Linked DNA regions of Caenorhabditis elegans. The protein of the gene in region 3 interacts with the protein of the main gene of each other region in a pairwise test. Each region holds a gene or a part of one and is shown on either strand. Other genes may lie near its edges.

The links.
Region 1: the proteins of pas-1 (region 3) and F52G2.3 interact in a two-hybrid assay, tested with the Caenorhabditis elegans proteins (3 studies listed by BioGRID).
Region 2: the proteins of pas-1 (region 3) and vet-1 interact in a two-hybrid assay, tested with the Caenorhabditis elegans proteins (3 studies listed by BioGRID).
Region 4: the proteins of pas-1 (region 3) and W07G4.5 interact in a two-hybrid assay, tested with the Caenorhabditis elegans proteins (3 studies listed by BioGRID).

What each region holds. Positions count from the first base shown.
Region 1 is NC_003282.8:13,542,883-13,549,808, forward strand, and holds F52G2.3 (RSD-2 N-terminal domain-containing protein), read right to left. Parts: upstream 5,349-6,926; 5' UTR 5,341-5,348; coding exon 5,231-5,340; intron 4,795-5,230; coding exon 4,489-4,794; intron 4,438-4,488; coding exon 4,291-4,437; intron 4,174-4,290; exon of another isoform or gene 4,153-4,173; intron 3,733-4,152; coding exon 3,598-3,732; intron 3,372-3,597; coding exon 3,168-3,371; intron 3,124-3,167; coding exon 3,001-3,123; intron 2,951-3,000; coding exon 2,848-2,950; intron 2,806-2,847; coding exon 2,629-2,805; intron 2,190-2,628; coding exon 1,944-2,189; intron 1,466-1,943; exon of another isoform or gene 1,441-1,465; intron 1,066-1,440; exon of another isoform or gene 1,045-1,065; intron 971-1,044; coding exon 566-970; 3' UTR 523-565; downstream 1-522. Other genes in the region: Y45F10B.13 (Chitin-binding type-2 domain-containing protein), read right to left, coding at 6,880-6,900.
Region 2 is NC_003279.8:6,200,265-6,203,796, forward strand, and holds vet-1 (Very Early Transcript), read right to left. Parts: upstream 1,813-3,532; 5' UTR 1,803-1,812; coding exon 1,696-1,802; intron 1,611-1,695; coding exon 761-1,610; 3' UTR 534-760; downstream 1-533.
Region 3 is NC_003283.11:14,421,043-14,424,170, reverse strand, and holds pas-1 (Proteasome subunit alpha type-6), read left to right. Parts: upstream 1-1,552; coding exon 1,553-1,624; intron 1,625-1,673; coding exon 1,674-2,010; intron 2,011-2,068; coding exon 2,069-2,400; 3' UTR 2,401-2,605; downstream 2,606-3,128. Other genes in the region: rrsr-1 (Ribosome biogenesis regulatory protein homolog), read left to right, coding at 1-59, 113-275; rpoa-12 (DNA-directed RNA polymerase subunit), read left to right, coding at 873-999, 1,048-1,165, 1,227-1,341; dhs-22 (DeHydrogenases, Short chain), read left to right, coding at 2,744-2,832, 2,881-3,007. UniProt on the Caenorhabditis elegans protein: The proteasome is a multicatalytic proteinase complex which is characterized by its ability to cleave peptides with Arg, Phe, Tyr, Leu, and Glu adjacent to the leaving group at neutral or slightly basic pH.
Region 4 is NC_003283.11:13,046,091-13,049,797, reverse strand, and holds W07G4.5 (RILP-like protein 1), read right to left. Parts: upstream 1,819-3,707; 5' UTR 1,800-1,818; coding exon 1,553-1,799; intron 1,497-1,552; coding exon 866-1,496; intron 787-865; coding exon 624-786; 3' UTR 560-623; downstream 1-559. Other genes in the region: W07G4.8 (TonB-dependent receptor), read left to right, coding at 249-432, 478-554.

The DNA.
Region 1 (6,926 bases), on a different chromosome or scaffold from region 3:
GTTAAATAAATACATTCAAATTTAATTCGACCGCTTCAGATTTTCTAACAAACTCCCAGACTACTCAATTCCTTCGAAATTAAGATAAATTCAAAATGTCAGAAATTGCCGAAAAATGAAAACTTTCGGCAATCGGCAATTTTGACAATTGTAGGTTCTGTTCATTTTCGGCAATTGGCAATTTCGACATTTGCCGGTTTTGTAAATTTTCTGCAGTTGCCGGTTTAAAAAATTTTCGGAAAACGGCAATTCCGGGAAGTGCTGGTTTTGTAAATTTTCGGAAAACGGTTTCTCCGGCAAGTGCCGGTTTTGTAATTTTCCGGAAATTTGCGATTTCGGCAATGTACGGCAATGTACGGCAAATGACAATTCCGGCATTTGCCGGTTTTGTAAATTTTCGGCAATTGACGGCTTACAAAATTTCCGGCAAACGGCAATTCCGGCATTTGCCGGTTTTGTAATTTTCCGGCAAATGGCAATTTCGGCTGATACATCTAGAATAGTGCAACAACGTTCTTCATAGCATAAACTCGTTTATCTTTTCAAATAATAACTTTTCACATAACTAGTTATTTTCCAAATGCTCCGAGCACTCTTTCAATTTTTCTTCCAATGCTTGTAGTCTTCTCGGATTATAACCTCTCAGTGTTTCCTTCAACTGCCTGTTGTCCAAAAACTTTTTAATCGCATCGCACAGAGATTCCATCATATCATTGGTTCGTTCCAATTTATTTTTGAATTCAGCAGTTTCACCCAAACTAATTGAAGATCTGGAAGATACTGGAGGCGCCTGCGAGTGATAATATTGCATGTTGTTTGACATGCTGTGTTGTTGTGCATTTTCTGTTTGATAACTATTTGAACTGCCTGCTGGTCGTTGTTGCTGAGCAAAATGTTCTTGTTGAGCACGTTTCTTTTGCATCTCAATATCGTCATTGTGTCTTTTCACATTATCAGCAGTGTCTCCTAACTGGAAGTTAGATTATTCTTTAAAAGCAGAGTTTGGGAAATAAGGATTTTGTATTAAAAATATTCCAATAAGTACATGGTGAAGCTACAAGCGGATCAATGACATTTAAAAAAAAACAATTCTTGAAGAAGTGGTGAAACGGGAATTTTTTAAATTTGAAAAAGTGGAAATTATTATATAGCAATTTCAAATTTCAACTAATTTTAGGTCATTTTTGAGCCATCATAGCGTTTTTTTGAGACATTTTCAAGAAGTTTCATCATGAATTTCGGTGTTTTCAGACAATTTCGAGTCTAAATTTTTTAACCTAACTTTGAAAAAAATCGGAACGAAACTAAAACAAGTTGTTCAAAATAACTGTGACGTCACAATTCCAAAAATGAGGTTGTAAACTTTTTCCGTGTGAAATATGAAATGTTTAGCATTTTTGTAACGTGTTTAGTCAGTTTTTATCAAAATTCTAATGAAAATGTAAAGTTTTTAGCAACACATCAATGACAGATTAAAAAATACAATTCTTGAAGAAGTGGTGAAACGGGAATTTTTTGAATTTGAAAAAATGAAAATTATTATATAGAAATAAAAAATTCGACTACACCTAAAGTTAGTTTAAACTTGATAATTAAATAGATAATTAATTTGTTTACCTAAAATTAGACGGTGATTTAAAAAAAGTTTCCAGCCGCTTCACAATTTGGCCAAATTTCAAATTTCAACTAATTTTAGGTCATTTTTTGAGCCGCCATAACTATTTTTTGAGAAGTTTTTAAGAAGTTTCATTATAAAATTAGGTTTATTCAGACAATTTCAAGTCTAACTTTGAAAGAAAGGGAAAAAGAACTGTCTAAAATAACTCTTGAAGAAGTGGTGAAACGGGAATTTTTTAAATTTGAAAAAGTGCAAATTATCATATAGCAATAAAAATTTCGACTGTACCACCTTTAAAAAGTTTTTCATGAGATCAAATGCTTACGTTTCCAATCTCCAACTGTTCTTGTCTCTTTCTATATAATTCGCTGGCACCAACTATTTCCACCAATTCCCATATAAAAACTTCCACTTCTTCATCTTCAGAAATCCAATGAGAATCGACCATCATTCGTGGTACTTGCCTACGCACAAATCGACAGAAACAACAAATGTTCTCGGCCACCTTCCGGTTGTAGTAATTCTGTGCCACGTTCAGAATGGATAGCTGATTTTGTTGGGGACCTAGTACCTGAGAAAGGAAGAATTATTTTCTTTCAAGGTTTCAAAAGTTTCACACTAGTTGTGTTCGGCAATTTCGGCAAATCGACTTTTTAAATATTTGCCTAGTACGGAAAATTCGGAAAATTTGCCGTGACTCGCTAAATCGCAATATTTTTTGGAGCTTAAAAATTGCCAAAATTAATGGATTAAACTAAGTTTACTGGTTTTTGTTCGATTTTTGGCTAATACGCGTGTGAATTTCTTGAATTGAAAAATAAAAGAAACACGATGTTATGTTTTGTTTCATTAAGTCTCTGATCAAAACCATTAGAGATTTGAACAAAATTTTTATAAAAATTTTTTCATTTGAGTTTCAATATTTGCCGTGCTCGACAAACGGCAAATTCGGCAAATTTGACACAACATCAATTACATCAATTCATAATGCTAAAATATTGTGAACTCACACTATGTGCCAACATAACATAACCAACAATTTCGCAGCTGAAAATCGGATTTCCTCCGATCGTTGTCCATTTACTAAACTTTCCTTCAGGCCGAGAAAGATCGACTTTGAACAATGCGAAACATTCTTTTCCAACGGTTTTCACCTCATTTTTTTCATTGTTAACATTATTTATTGCCTGAAAAGAGAAATCACTTAAAGATTGCATAGTTGTGCCTACCGTAATCTCAAATGGTGCCCAATGAGTAGTTGCTTGAACTGGAATAGGCTTAAAACTACAATTGAAAACACTTCCCAGAGAAGTTGTAATTTGATGTTTGGACCTGAAATCGTCAATTTATGCATGCTGAAAAACAGGTACCAAAATAAGTACCAATAATGAATCGCCGCTTTTTGAACGCTTCGAAGATATACAATTTGCATTATTCCATTTTCATACGTGACCATTCCCATTGATTCTGGAAGTATTGGTGCAGGATTTGGGAGTTGGGGCTCACTGTAAATTGGGTAAACTTTTCAGTTGTTTCAATGATTTCTTACTTTCTTATAACTTGATCTGATGAGCTGGAACTTCTGCCAGAATAATATTCAGTTGAGCCTCGCGAATTTGCAGTTTCAAGCGGTTGATCAGTACGTCCAACACCACTGAACTCTCCATAAATGCTGTTAGTTACCGAGCGTTGCTGGTTGATTTGCTCTCTATAGGGAGCCTGATTTTGTACAGTTTGCGGTTGTTCACTTAACCTGAAATTGAAGCTTGATTGCGACGAGTAGTTATGATCAGAGGCGCGCGGCAATTTTTCACCGGCAATTTAGAAAATTCGGTCAAATTTTAAACACTTTCACGGTTGTTCCAAGTCAAATAAAAGTTATTTTCAAACAAACACCATAAGTTATACAAATACGCACAACCAGGAACTCAGGTAGGTAGGCAGAAGGTAGGCGTCTATGCATAGAAATGATATCTTACTTTCTTGCCGCCGGTACCGGTTGTGGTCTCAGACTATCACACGAAGATCTTCCAGTGTAGGAATGATTTGAAGATGGTTGATGTGCCGACGGCAGGATAGGATAGGCAACAGTTTCAATCAAACGAGTTTGTTTTCTGCAATTATTTTAAAAGTGGAGTAGCGTCAGTGGGAGTTTTGTCTAAATAAACATATTCCAAAAAATTTTAGATTAAAAAAAAATTTCAGTCAAAGTTTTGGCAAATTGTCAAATTTTTGAGTATGAGCTTTAAAGGAAATCCAGTGCGATGTCGCATGTTCCGACCCCTAGAATGTTTTAAAACGAAAAATAAAAAACAATATTAAAATATAGAAATTGTAGGAACAACCTTTTTTCGGCCGACTTCCAAAATTTTTGAGTGGCAAAAACTGAGCAATTTTCATTTTTTTTACAGTAATGGAGTTATTCAAGTAATGTTGCAACATGTATTTAAATGCATTCATGACGTCACAGCTGTATAAAAAAAACATGTTTTTTAAAATGTATTTTAACACAGTAATTTTTCTGCACTTTTTAATTTTCCGCCACTATTTGAATTACCCCATAAACTAAAAATTTCCAAAAAAAAAGTTTTACTATGATTTTTTGCCATTTTGGAACCATAGGAGTGCTTTTTAACAGTGTCTTTTTAAACAGGATGAAAAAAAAAACTCACGTTGTTCTCTGAATATCTGCAATTCGTTTCCTTTCAAATTCCATCATTTTCAAACGCACTTCCGCAGCATCTCGATTATCAATTACTCCTACTAGTTGAACAGCTTTCATTAGACATTCGCCTGTATTTTTATAATCTAGGTCATTTCTAAACGTGGTAAAAATTAATTATTCAACTTCTGATAATAAATGAACTAACACTGCGATTAAATATTTAAAAAATGCGACTTTAGTGTTTTTTGCTTTAAACTGTGAACAATTGACGGGACCATACCAATCGGCGTATCCAATATTCCGATCATAAGTGAGATGACTTGGATCCGAACTGAATCCAATCCAACTTTTAAACATGACAACATCGGTTTTTTCCTTTGGCAATATGACACAATCTTCCGGAGCCGGCGGTTCGATAACTATGGTTCCGCACTCAGGACTTATGAAGCAGACACCGTCAATTTGAACAATTTTCAGATTTTCGACAGCCAGAAATTGGCCAATTTGTGGCCTGAAACTTTATTGTAACACTCCAATAACGTTTAGATTTTTCGAAAATTTCAATAAAAATTTGGTATTTTCCACATTTTTGGCACATTTTATGCACATTTTTGCACATTTTTTGCACATTTTTTCCACATTTTTTGCACATTTTTTCCACATTTTTTGCAAATTTTTAAACGCTCCATATATCTAAAGTTAAAGTTTTTGGCAATCGGCAACCACCTGCCGATTGCCACACAAGTTTTTTAGGGTTCAAAGTTGTAAGTTAAACTTTCACCAAATTATTGAAAAATGAGTCACCGGTTTCGAGCGTCGAACTCTGATGCACCAAGCACCTCACTCAACGCGCAATCAGCAAATTTTTCTCTCAAAAAATTGGCTAGGCAGGAAAGTAGGTAGGCAGGCAGGCAGGCAGGCAGGAAAGAACATGAAATAAAACTTACTGTACACTTTCCACAAGGTTTGCGTGAAGAAGTTCATGGGTTTCACGGTTCAAACAAATAGCTTCCCGATTCAATATATCATATTTCAAGACAAGAAGCCTCGTTTCCATGTTTTAGGCTGAAAATTTGAGGAACTTTTGAACTGGAAACATTGAAAAATTGAATTGCTATTGGTAAAAGTAACTTTGAAAAAGAGGCAAACAAATAATGAAATGCTTGGTTTTATTTAAACATAGTGATAAAGTTTGAACGAAAAAATCACTGATAAGGCAAGCCAGCGCTCTCGTATCACTTCGAATTACTTCCATTGTGCCTCATTGCAAAAAAAATTCAAATGATTTGAAAATGAAAGAGCCCGAAACCGAAGAAATTGTATCTCTTGATTTTTATAATTTTTTCACGGAACTTTTTGTGCATTTTTTGCTCAGCAAGTGGATGTAGATTGCACAATTTTTTGATCTTGCATTAAAAAAAAATGTAATGTCTTTATTCTATATATTTACTCTAATGTTCTGCCATTATGAGTAAATATAAAACTCTTCAGCATAGTCAAAAATACCAGAAAATGACAATCAAAGTATAATAGCTTGTACGGAAGTATTTTTTTAAAAATTGATAAAAATAAATAAAAGCTGATTTTTTCAAAAATTCAAAAGTATGGGAAAATCATATGGAGTCATTCTTTTTTATTTCATAAAACTCTTCAGCATAGTCAAAAATACCAGAAAATGCCAATCAAAGTATAATAGCTTGTACGGAAGTATTTTTTTAAAAATTGATAAAAATATATAAAAGCTGATTTTTTCTAAAATTCAAAAGTATGGGAAAATCATATGGAGTCATTCTTTTTTATTTCATAAAACTCTTCAGCATAGTCAAAAATACCAGAAAATGCCAATCAAAGTATAATAGCTTGTACGGAAGTATTTTTTTAAAAATTGATAAAAATATATAAAAGCTGATTTTTTTCAAAAATTCAAAAGTATGGGAAAATCATATGGAGTCATTCTTTTTTATTTCATAAAACTCTTCAGCATAGTCAAAAATACCAGAAAATGCCAATCAAAGTATAATAGCTTGTACGGAAGTATTTTTTTAAAAATTGATAAAAATATATAAAAGCTGATTTTTTTCAAAAATTCAAAAGTATGGGAAAATCATATGGAGTCATTCTTTTTTATTTCATAAAACTCTTCAGCATAGTCAAAAATACCAGAAAATGCCAATCAAAGTATAATAGCTTGTACGGAAGTATTTTTTTAAAAATTGATAAAAATATATAAAAGCTGATTCTTTCAAAAATTCAAAAGTATGGCAAAATCATATGCCAATTAATTTACTCTAATGTTCTGCCAAAAAATTTACTCTAATGTTCTGCCAAATAATTTACTCTAATGTTCTGCCAAATAATTTACTCTAATGTTCTGCGAGCGGTTTTAGAGCGCTTTTGGAGCGCTTTTGAAGCGGGTTTGGTGCGGTTTTTACGTATTCAGAATTTGCTGTGGTTCTAGATAATCTGATGGCAATCTTTGTGATTATTGTTAAATATTTAACTTTATTTATAATTAAATTGCAGTCCAAAAACGGGTTCAAATAAGAAAAGATTGCCAACATTTTTTTTTAATTTTTTCAACTTGAAAAATCGACGGTCAATAGTTGCGGACAATACTCTGAAAAAACCAAACATTTTTTTATT
Region 2 (3,532 bases), on a different chromosome or scaffold from region 3:
TGCAAAACATTTTCTAGGTCTGAACTGTCTTCTAATGGTATATTTGAACTCACACTCACGTATTTTATTTTATGGAATTGATTTCAAAGACACTAATCACGGTATACAAGCAGAGCATAGGTCAACATCATTAACCATTGTTGTCATTTCTTATCTAATCAGTTTTAGTTTTTCATGCAAAAATGATATTTGCACTTTTTCGCTACATCATCGACTTTTACAGATTCTAGAGTACTCTCTCAAAAAACTCATCTCGATTTCACTCAAAAAAGAACATGGAAGATGAAACCACAATTGTTGGAAATATTGTAATAGCTTTCACTAATCTACCACCTTCAGCACGTACTTTTCAAATTCCTCTTGAATTTGATTGATTTTTCCAACAGTTTTTATCGCTAGTCGTGTGTTTTACTTTTCATGTTGTGTTTCGATGTGAAGTTCTCTGATTCTGCCTGTTATTTAAAATTGATAGTAAACTTTTCGTACACCTGTTTGGTTATAAAAATCCACGTTAAAAAGTGATTCCGATATTTAATGAAACATTTATTGAATAATTAAGAGAGTAACATTTTAAGATGGATTGAAAGAATGCCGAGGCGTTGAAAAATTAAGCCGTATTGTTTCGTATTACAACAAACGAAAAAGTGCAATGGAAATGGTAAAGTAAAAGCAATAGTATCAAATCGAAAAAATGCTAAAAAAGCGATAGTAGCTAAAAGAAGAAAAATTAACACGGAAAAAGTAATTGGGTGATATTAAATTATTGATAATTGGTTACTTCTCCGGTTTCATCAAAATCTTCTTCATTTTGGAGTGTTTCCTTGATAGCAGACAATCGTTTCTTAGCAGATGCCAGATGTTCTTTCATTTTAGGTGAAGTTGTCTGAGAAGAGACACGTTCCTCGTAGAACTTTGTGCACAATCTTTGGAACTTCAAGTTGAACTGTTCGAACTCTTTTTGAGATTCTTCATATTTCGACAAGGCTTCGGATTTCATTTTCTTGGTCTCTTCAAGTTCATGTTTCAAAGCTTTGGTTCCATTTTTCATTTCATCAAGTTCCTTAGAGGTGTCGTTGTTTTCAGATTTCAATGTAAGAATATCACTTCTCAGACACAAAATTCTGACTTCTCTTTCATTGATTTCATGTACCAATACATCTTTCTCTTGTTTCAATTGTTGAGCTTCTTTGAAATATCTCTCTCTCGAATCCTTTTCCATATTCAATTCATATCTCACTCCCATACAAATGGCCGATTGTCTTTTGATAAATTCGTTCAAATTTTTCTCAACTTCAGTCATTCTTTCCTTGTATTCTTCAAAGTTCTTTTTGATTCTCTTCAATTCCATTTCTTGTTTCATCAATGTCATTTTGTTCACATTGATCTTCTTCTCATCATAGAATTCTTCACAAGCCTCGATAAAAGCATCCTTTTCATGAAGACGTTCTTTCAATTTTTCCAATGACTTTTGATGTTCTCCATTCAAATCTTCAACCTTCTTTTCCAAATTATTGATTATTGTGTAGAGACGATTGAGTTCCGAATCATGGCACTTCGCTTCCCCTTTCAGATCAGAGATCTCAAGTCGAGAATTGGCAAGCTCTCGTCGTCTGAAATTGAACATATTAAGAATGGGTTAGTACAATATAATCTATATAACAGGTTGCACGTTGTCCTAGAGTTCAAACAACTTACGTTTTCTGATGATCAAATCGTTCGTCATCCAATTTCATTTGAAGAAGTGCGATCTCCGATTTCAACTTGGACTCGGTGGGAGTGAAGAATGGATTTTCAGCAAACATAGTTTCAGTTCTGAAAAATATTTAATTGAAAAGAAACGTTTAGTGAAACTGCAGTAGAAAATACTAGAGCAAATAAATAAATGAAAAAAGGAAAGATGCACCTTTTGAGAATGTTAGGTGAGAATGAGTAATTGGATCGAAAAAACAGTGAGAGAGAACGATGGTGAGAATTTACAGCGTCCAAATATGGATCGATATTCACAATTTTGGAAAAGCGTTGCATTGTATGGTGATCTTCTGTCGAAGAACATAATATATTGATTGGATCGAGAGAAGTCATTCAGAATGTAGTTGACTCCAAATCTATGGCTATACTAAAATGGGCATTTTGTAAACGTTGAAAGAAACTAAATTTCCAATTCCAATTAATCTAGCTCCCACTATTGTTAATTCAGTACCATCGATACAAATCTCGCAGGTTTTATCAATCTTTCATCCCACTCAAACCTTAAGAAAGAAAAAAATGTTAACATTCAAAGATGTAAAAAAATTTTATCACTTTCAAGTTTCAAAAATTAATTTTGGCTATAAATATGCTATTCCAGTTTTTAATTGAAAATCTAGCAGTCTCGAAGGCCATATAAGCTATTTAAAATCAGATATACGTGCAATACGATCAGGAAAAATCCGGTACATGAAAAACCAAAGTAATACTTTTTTACACTATTTTATTTACACTAGAAATGTCAGTATTCTGAAATAGAGGGCTCTATTCTCTTTTCGTCTTCGGTTGAAGATTTTTTAAAGGAATTAATACAAATACACAATTACTTACTAGGACTGCAACTGGGATATCTCAGAAAATTAAAACAATCAAAATAAGAACAAAAAAATAAACGTACCGAATGGGACCTGGATAAAATGAGAAGAATGAATTGAGAACAACATGAATGAGAGTGAATGTTAGGTAGTTCATTACAGCGTCTGGATTTGGATCGATATCCAGAAAGGCTCTATGAGATCGTCTGCTTATTGTCTCCCTCTCCCTGAAACGGCAGATTGAGAAGGTACCAAAATATAAGGTCACAAAAACTGGTACCCTAGATTTATAGAACCATGAAATAGCTAATGGAAGTTAAGTTTATATGTATGGGGCTCTTCAAACTAGGATTTAAAAAGAGACAAAGGAAAGACTGAATTGAAGTATTAAAAACGTAATATATTTATTTGGCGGTCGCAGCGTCCGAACATGAATTGATATCCAGATTAAATCCGTTTTATTGTCAACTGTGGCACCTCTTTATCCTTAAAGTGAAAATTAAAATCCATAAAATGTACTCTAGACTGACGATGACACTCGGCTGAAATTTAATTATTTTAAATCGTTCACTTAAGTAGCTTCATTGATCTATTGAAACCAAAAATACAAACGAAATCCCACCAATATTTGTTGTAATTCCTAAATACAGAAGTTATTCAGACATTTGCCAATATTACCAACACTTCCATTTGATTTACCCTAGTTTTCAACACACAAATACTTGCATGTTGTTCTTAAATTTTTTTTTCTTTCTTAAGAAATAAAAAGAATATGATTTCAAAATGTGGCATGCAAATCTGACTATCAGACAATTGATAATGAGTCAAATCTTTGTATATAATTTTTTTTAATTAGCAAGATCTTTGTAATATTCTACTTTACTAAAGCTATTCAAGCATTTGTTGCCTTCTATCAGTATTCATCTAAAAAGTTTAATAACAGGTTTTAGACAAATTTCAATTTTTTTTTC
Region 3 (3,128 bases):
TCAAAGAAAGCAAAGATTGTTGAAGAAAAGGCTGCTGCAGTTGCTGGACCTTTGAGAGAGTGAGTAGTGAGAAAATTAGGCCTTTATCGTTATTCAATTCAATTAATTTCAGGAAGAAGGAAAAATCGGAGAGGAAAGGTGCTAAAGATCAAACAAGACAGAAGAGTCAGATTCACAGACAACAGTGGTTCAAAAACAAGGTCGACGGCAAGAAGAAGGGTACTGGTGGTGCTGGAAAGAAGGGAGCCAACAAGGCCAAAGCAAGAAAGGGATAATCTATGTTCTTGTTTTTTATTCAAATTTGTTGATTTTGATTCGTTTATTTTTTTTGTTACTTTCTTTTTTATTCATCAAATTTTAACATTCAATAAATAAATGTTCTGTTAAGTAGAAAATGTTACTTTTCTTCATGAAATGATGTTTTAGTTCTCGATTGTGAATTTACCTGGGATAGGTTATTTTATTAAATTTGTTCAGAGTTTTATATAATCCCAATTATTTTTCTCTGGCATGTTTTTTTTTTCTCTGAATGTAAGAAAGCCAACATTGATTCGCGATTTTCAAATCTATGAAATTAATAGGCGGAGTTTTCTTTGCCAGATCCAGCAACTCGGCCATCTTTCAAACCAAGATAAGTGATTTTAGATCATTTAACAATTTGCCTGTCAAGACTTAATATTTTCTCAACTAGTAAAGTGCTGTTCCCATTTACTCAGCAATCTGTTTCTTCGAAAGTCACAAATCGGTAGTGTCTCAATTTCCAAGCGTGCTCCATCGCACTCCCTTTAAATTTTGTCATCTTTTCGGCGTTCTCATCATTTTTCAACCTTCAACAATATATTTTAGTCGAAACTTCATTAATTCAGCTTAAAATGGCTTTGAACTTCCTCTCATACGACGATGACTTTTGTGGATATTGCGGCGCCATCTTGGAACTACCGGCACAGGCTCCAGCGACGGTCTCCTGCAAAGTATGCTCAACTCGATGGGCTGTGAAAGGTTTCCTGCTTTTAAGATGAATATATTCTAATTTTAAAATGTTTTCAGAAAGAGTAGATCAAGTGGTTAGCCGTGTCGAAAAGATCTACGAACGAACGGTTGCTGATACAGATGGAATTGAAAATGACGAGTCAGCGGATGCTGTTGTTGATCATATTTGCACAAAGTAAGAATATTTCCGGGGATTTTGAAACTGAGAAAGACTGAAACTAATTTCCAACTTTAAGGTGCGGTCACTCAAAGGCATCATATTCTACTATGCAAACGAGATCTGCAGATGAAGGACAAACAGTATTCTATACATGCCTGAAATGCAAGAAGAAGGATATCGAATATTCTTGATAACCTTTCGAGTCTTTATTTTTCAAATCAGATTTTTATTTCTGTTGTTATATATTGTTGAATTTTTGTTTTTGTTTCCTGAATATTCCATTAAGTTTCTTTTTATTCGTTTTTTTTTTCATTTTATTGGTACACTGGTCAATAACCAGATTTCCTATCTTTATCGGTTTTCAAATTAATGGTTGATTTCCACTTTAAAATTTATGTTTAGATGTCTCGTGGAAGCAGCGCCGGATTCGATCGTCATATTACCATCTTCTCTCCAGAAGGACGTGTTTATCAGGTTATAAAATAATAGTTGAATGTTTATAACTTTCCATGCTTGCTTCCAGGTCGAGTATGCCTTCAAAGCAATCAACTCTACCAATCTGACGGCTGTCGCAGTCAAGGGAGCTGATGCAGCTGTCATTGCCGTTCAAAAGCGTGTTCCAGACAGTCTCATCGTCGCTGATACCGTCACTTCGGTTTATCAAATCTCTCAGTCTGTTGGATGCTGCGCCATTGGAATGATCCCGGATGCTAAATTCCAAATCAAGCGTGCACAGGGAGAAGCTGCTAGCTGGAAGTACAAGAACGGCTACGATATGCCATGCGAGCTTCTCGCCAAAAAGATGGCTGATCTCAACCAGTATTACACACAAAATGCGGAGATGCGTAGTTTGGGATGTGGTTAGTAGAAAAATTTCCGAATTCTCTAACTTCAATTATTACAATTACTCAATTTCAGCTCTTTTGTTCATTTCCTACGATGACGAGAAAGGACCAGAAGTTTATCGTGTTGACCCCGCTGGATACTACCGTGGTATGAAAGGAGTATCTGTTGGAGTGAAACAACTTCCAGCGACCTCATTCTTGGAAAAGAAAATTAAGAAGAAGTCCGAATTGACATCCACAGAAGCTATTGAACTCGCCATTGAGGCTCTTCAGACTTCATTGGGAATCGACGTTCGTTCCAAGGATCTTGAGGTTGTCGTTGTCACCAAGGATAACTCCAAATTCACCAAGCTAACCAGCGATCAGGTCGAACATCATCTCAATCAAATCGCCAACCGAGATTAAATATTCATCGACCTTTGTATTTAAATATTTCCCGTTTCAATTGATCCGGTACCCAAATTGAATTAAATACCTGGTTTCCCTTTTCTAAATTTATTTATTGTTTTCTTTACTCCCTGTTTCTCGGTCTTTTTTATCATTGCCCTCCGCCCCTTTCTCTTTTGAAACTATTTATTTATCACTAAAAATCATGATAAAATGATTTTTGAAACACTTCATATTATTCATGTTGACTTTGATGGTGGTTTCGCAATCCCTGTTATTTATTTTTTAGTACGAATTCATTGAAGAAAACTGCAAGTTAAAAAAATTATACATTCAAAGTTTTAACAGACCATCTATTAAAATGGATGGTGCAGATGCTGAAGAACATGGAGGATTCCTCTTTTTTGTGCTCGCTTCATCCGTAGTTTTTATTGTGCTCTTTTTCACAAGGTAATCGATATTTCACGATAGCTAAAACTATAATCTAAAATATTTCAGACGTTACTTTAAAGGAGGTCAATTCAATGAAAGAGTCTCTGCAAAGGGATTAGTAGCCGTTGTGACCGGTTCTAATTGTGGAATTGGATTCGAGACAGTTCGGGAACTTAATTTGAGGAAAGCTGATGTGAGTTACAGAACTAATTGCATTGTTATAATTAATTGCTAATTACTAATTACATAAATTGCATTTGTTTCTAAACAATGCTATCCATATTTAAGTTATCAAGAATAATCTAATTTTTTCC
Region 4 (3,707 bases), 1.4 Mb from region 3:
TGTGTTTCTGAAAACCCAAAAATATCCATTTTGGTATGAAGAATGGACAAAATAAAAACGAAAAAAAACATGTGTTTCTGTTATGTATTTCCGGTACAGTACAATAATATTAGGTACAATTTGGACATTTTCACTTTCACTTTGAAATTATGAAATCTAGTTTTATGATCATCCCATAAAATTGAAAAATCCCTCACTTTTTGGAGGTATACTTGTTTATTATTTATTATTCACTATTGAATATTCAAATGCATAGATTTCTACTTTTTTCAATTCTTTTTCTTCTAATTATATCAGAAGTTTTCTCTCAAACAATCCCTCCAAGGGAGTCAGAAGTAATTGAAATGAGTGGAGATGCAAAAAGTGTAGTTGATTTGCTTCAACAAATATTAGAAGCCAGTCGGGCACAAAACATTAATCAGCAATTTCGAGGTAAGTGTACTTTTCCGAATTCTTATCAACAAAGTTCTCTTCCAGTCCGAACTGTCGACGGAAACATTATCTTGGAATCTGTCGACTATAAACCTGGAGCACTTGAACATTTGAATTCATGAATTGATAAACTGTACAATTTGTTTATTATTGATGAACTGGCTCAAAAATGAAATTAAAAAAAAACACCATTATTGGCAATACTTCTGAACGAATCTTCTGTGATTTGCGGCAGGGCTTTGATCTTCATCTTCATTCATTTCTATAGTTGTTGGTTGTGCTTGTAGCCATTTGGAATTTTCGGAATTTTGAAGTTTGCTGATAACATCGATGAATTTGAATGAGTCAGATGAGCTGAAAATAAATGAAATTTTTTAAAGTGGCAATATAGATTTCTAGTTGGCTTTCCACAAAACTAATATTAAATACTCACCATTCGGTATTGATGTCCTCTCTCTCAAAATCATCCTCGTTGTCTTCACCATCATCTCGGAATCTTGCTGGAACTGGAGGGCGTGGTAGGTGTGTTGAAGAGCTTTCTTCATCGGAATGAAGTAACCATTTACTAGCTGGCTCGTTGTGAATAGTTTCAATTCTATCACGGAATGCCTTGTCGGCGTTGGCAGTATACTTCAAGCACATTGCCACTTCATTTAGAAGTTCAAATGAACTTGCATTGCTCTCCGAGCTTTCACTTTTCGATTCTCCGCTTACAAAAGACGATAAGTCGACGTTGAGAGCAGCATTTCCATCTGGTAGACGGCTCAGCCAACTCTTCACAGTATCAACTTCGTGTGGAGTTTCAGGAGATGTGTCAGTTTTGCTCTTCTTGGTCAAAAGCCACATGTTGTCGTCGTCATATGATTCCATATCAAGAGGCAAAGTACGTCCGACCTTCTTCATTGGAAGTCGTTGACAATTTTGTGAAATTCGAATTTCTCCCATCTTGAGAATACGTTCGTGCATAGCTCTGATGTCTGAGATCGGAAGATCCAGCTCAAGACGTACGTCATCATCCACATTCAGAATAGAATTGCCAGCAGGGAGCCCAAGATTACAAGCGGCTGAAATGAAGAGAAATGTGAAAAATAATTGAAAGCAAATAAATTTCGTCACTCACCAAGTTCTTCGGCAACAATATCCATCTGGTTCACGAGTTTTCCTTCTTTTTTATAGAATGCTCTATCTAGATCTCCAATAAGTTGTCTTTCGCGTTCTCTAAGTGATACAATCATTGCAGCGATTGCTTGACGAATATCTTGTTGAGCTTTATATCGATTCAGTCTCAAATTGTTTTGCACTTCATTCAGCTTTACACTCTGAACTTCCAAAAGCTTTACGAGTTGCTCGGATTGTGGAACTGGCATTGTGAGATGGCTTACTCCGCTGAAATGAAAATAAAAATTAACTTTAAAAAAAAAAATCACGGATGAATAAAAATGGAAGATGAATGGTTAAAGAACTGTACAAGATTAAAGTTAATAGGCGGTTAGTATTTGGTGGCGCCAGTTTCAATGAATGCAAAAGGCGATAGGGCGGCGCGACGTTGCATCTGTTACACCTTTGTGTTGGCAGAGAATAGGAGGAAAATTGATCGTCATATCAGTCATATTACCTATGATAACGAATACGTATGCGGTTTGTAGGCAAAAAAGTAACTGAAAAAGTGTCAAAATTCACGTATGAAAAACAAAGATCTACCATTATTCTAAATGCTCTTTGTATTCATGAGCTCCCAGGAACATACGTGGGAGAGCCGAAATCGATTTTGAGCAGGGCGCATAAAATAAGAGGGGAAAGAATGAGAAATGAGGAGAAAGAAAACGCAGAGCACATGGCTCCACCCCCACTCGTGTTATTTTTGCATAATTTGTTTTCTCCCATTGTTGTTTTTTTTTCTTCGCGAATCGTATAGTGATAAGAAACAAAAATGTTATGGAATTTAATGAAAACAAGTTTTGAAATTTGAATTTTTGTCTGAAGAAAAATATTACCCAGACGCGAAATTATGCGACTTTTGGACAAAACTACGGTCCAAGGTCTTGACACGACACAATTTTATTATAACAAAAAGGTGTGCTCCTTTAAAGAGAACTGTAATTTCAAACTCATTTTTTGCGTTATTCTTATCGAATAAATACAATTTTATTGAAAAACTATGCAAAATCGATGAAAATTAAGTGGAAAAAAAAATTTGAAATTACAGTACTCTTTAAAGGTGCACACAATTTTTATTTAACAAAAATGTGTCGTTTCGAGACCGTGTACCGTATTTTTAGCGAAAAAAACGCAAAATTAATAAAAGAGAGCAAAATATTCGTTCGTTGCCGAATGATATAAAGAATACAAAAAGAGAACAAGGTTATAAAGATAAAAAGGACAATCTAAAGTGTAACACCCATTGAGGTGGTCTGACTTGAATAAGAAGAACATGTGAATGGTTTGGGATCTCTGTGTTAAAATTGAAAATTGATAGATAAACCTGTTTTTTGATGGGTGAGGTGATAGGTTCGAAGGTTGGTCGTAAATTTTAAAGTTTTTTTCATTTCTTCTCTTAGGATTTTCATTTTTATATGGCTTGGAATTGATCATATTATAATGTTCAGCTCGATCTGAAGCATAAAGTTTTTTAAGGTGAATTTTATGCCTTTCTTTACTTTTGTTAAAACTGTTTTAAATAATTTTTCAAAATAAACATTTTAAAAGAAACTACCATAAACTTTTTTGCTCATCGAGACCTATCTGAATAACTCTGTGCGCCTTTAAGAAAGTATGCCAAAATCGTTGAAACTATAATGCAATAACTACAAAAAAAATTAAAATTCTCTTGAGAATTCTCGCACAAGTTTTGAAATGTCAACACTTACACACCCTAAAGCTGTAAATATAACAAAATTTTGAATTCTTGAAAAAAATACAAACTCGGAATTTCAGCTATTTATTCAAAGTGGAGCCACTAAACAAGGTCTTGAAAAGTGGTTTTTGACAGTCCATTGACACTTTTGGTTTCAGTTCTTTATCGGCACAAAGATAAGAAACAAAAAAGACAAAGAGCCTATAATAAAACAAGAAGTGGACACACAACTAAAAGTTTGATAAGTTTTTTTCTCTATTTGGATATTTATACTTCTAATCCAGTCTTTTGTTCAGCCGGAACTATTCAGTTGTGCATGTTGTTTGTGATTTTCTGGACAAACGTATTTATTTTACATGTGAGAATGGAGGAAGGATTCCGGGGGCGAATGATAAGAAACAAGCTCTGGTTCCCTGTATAA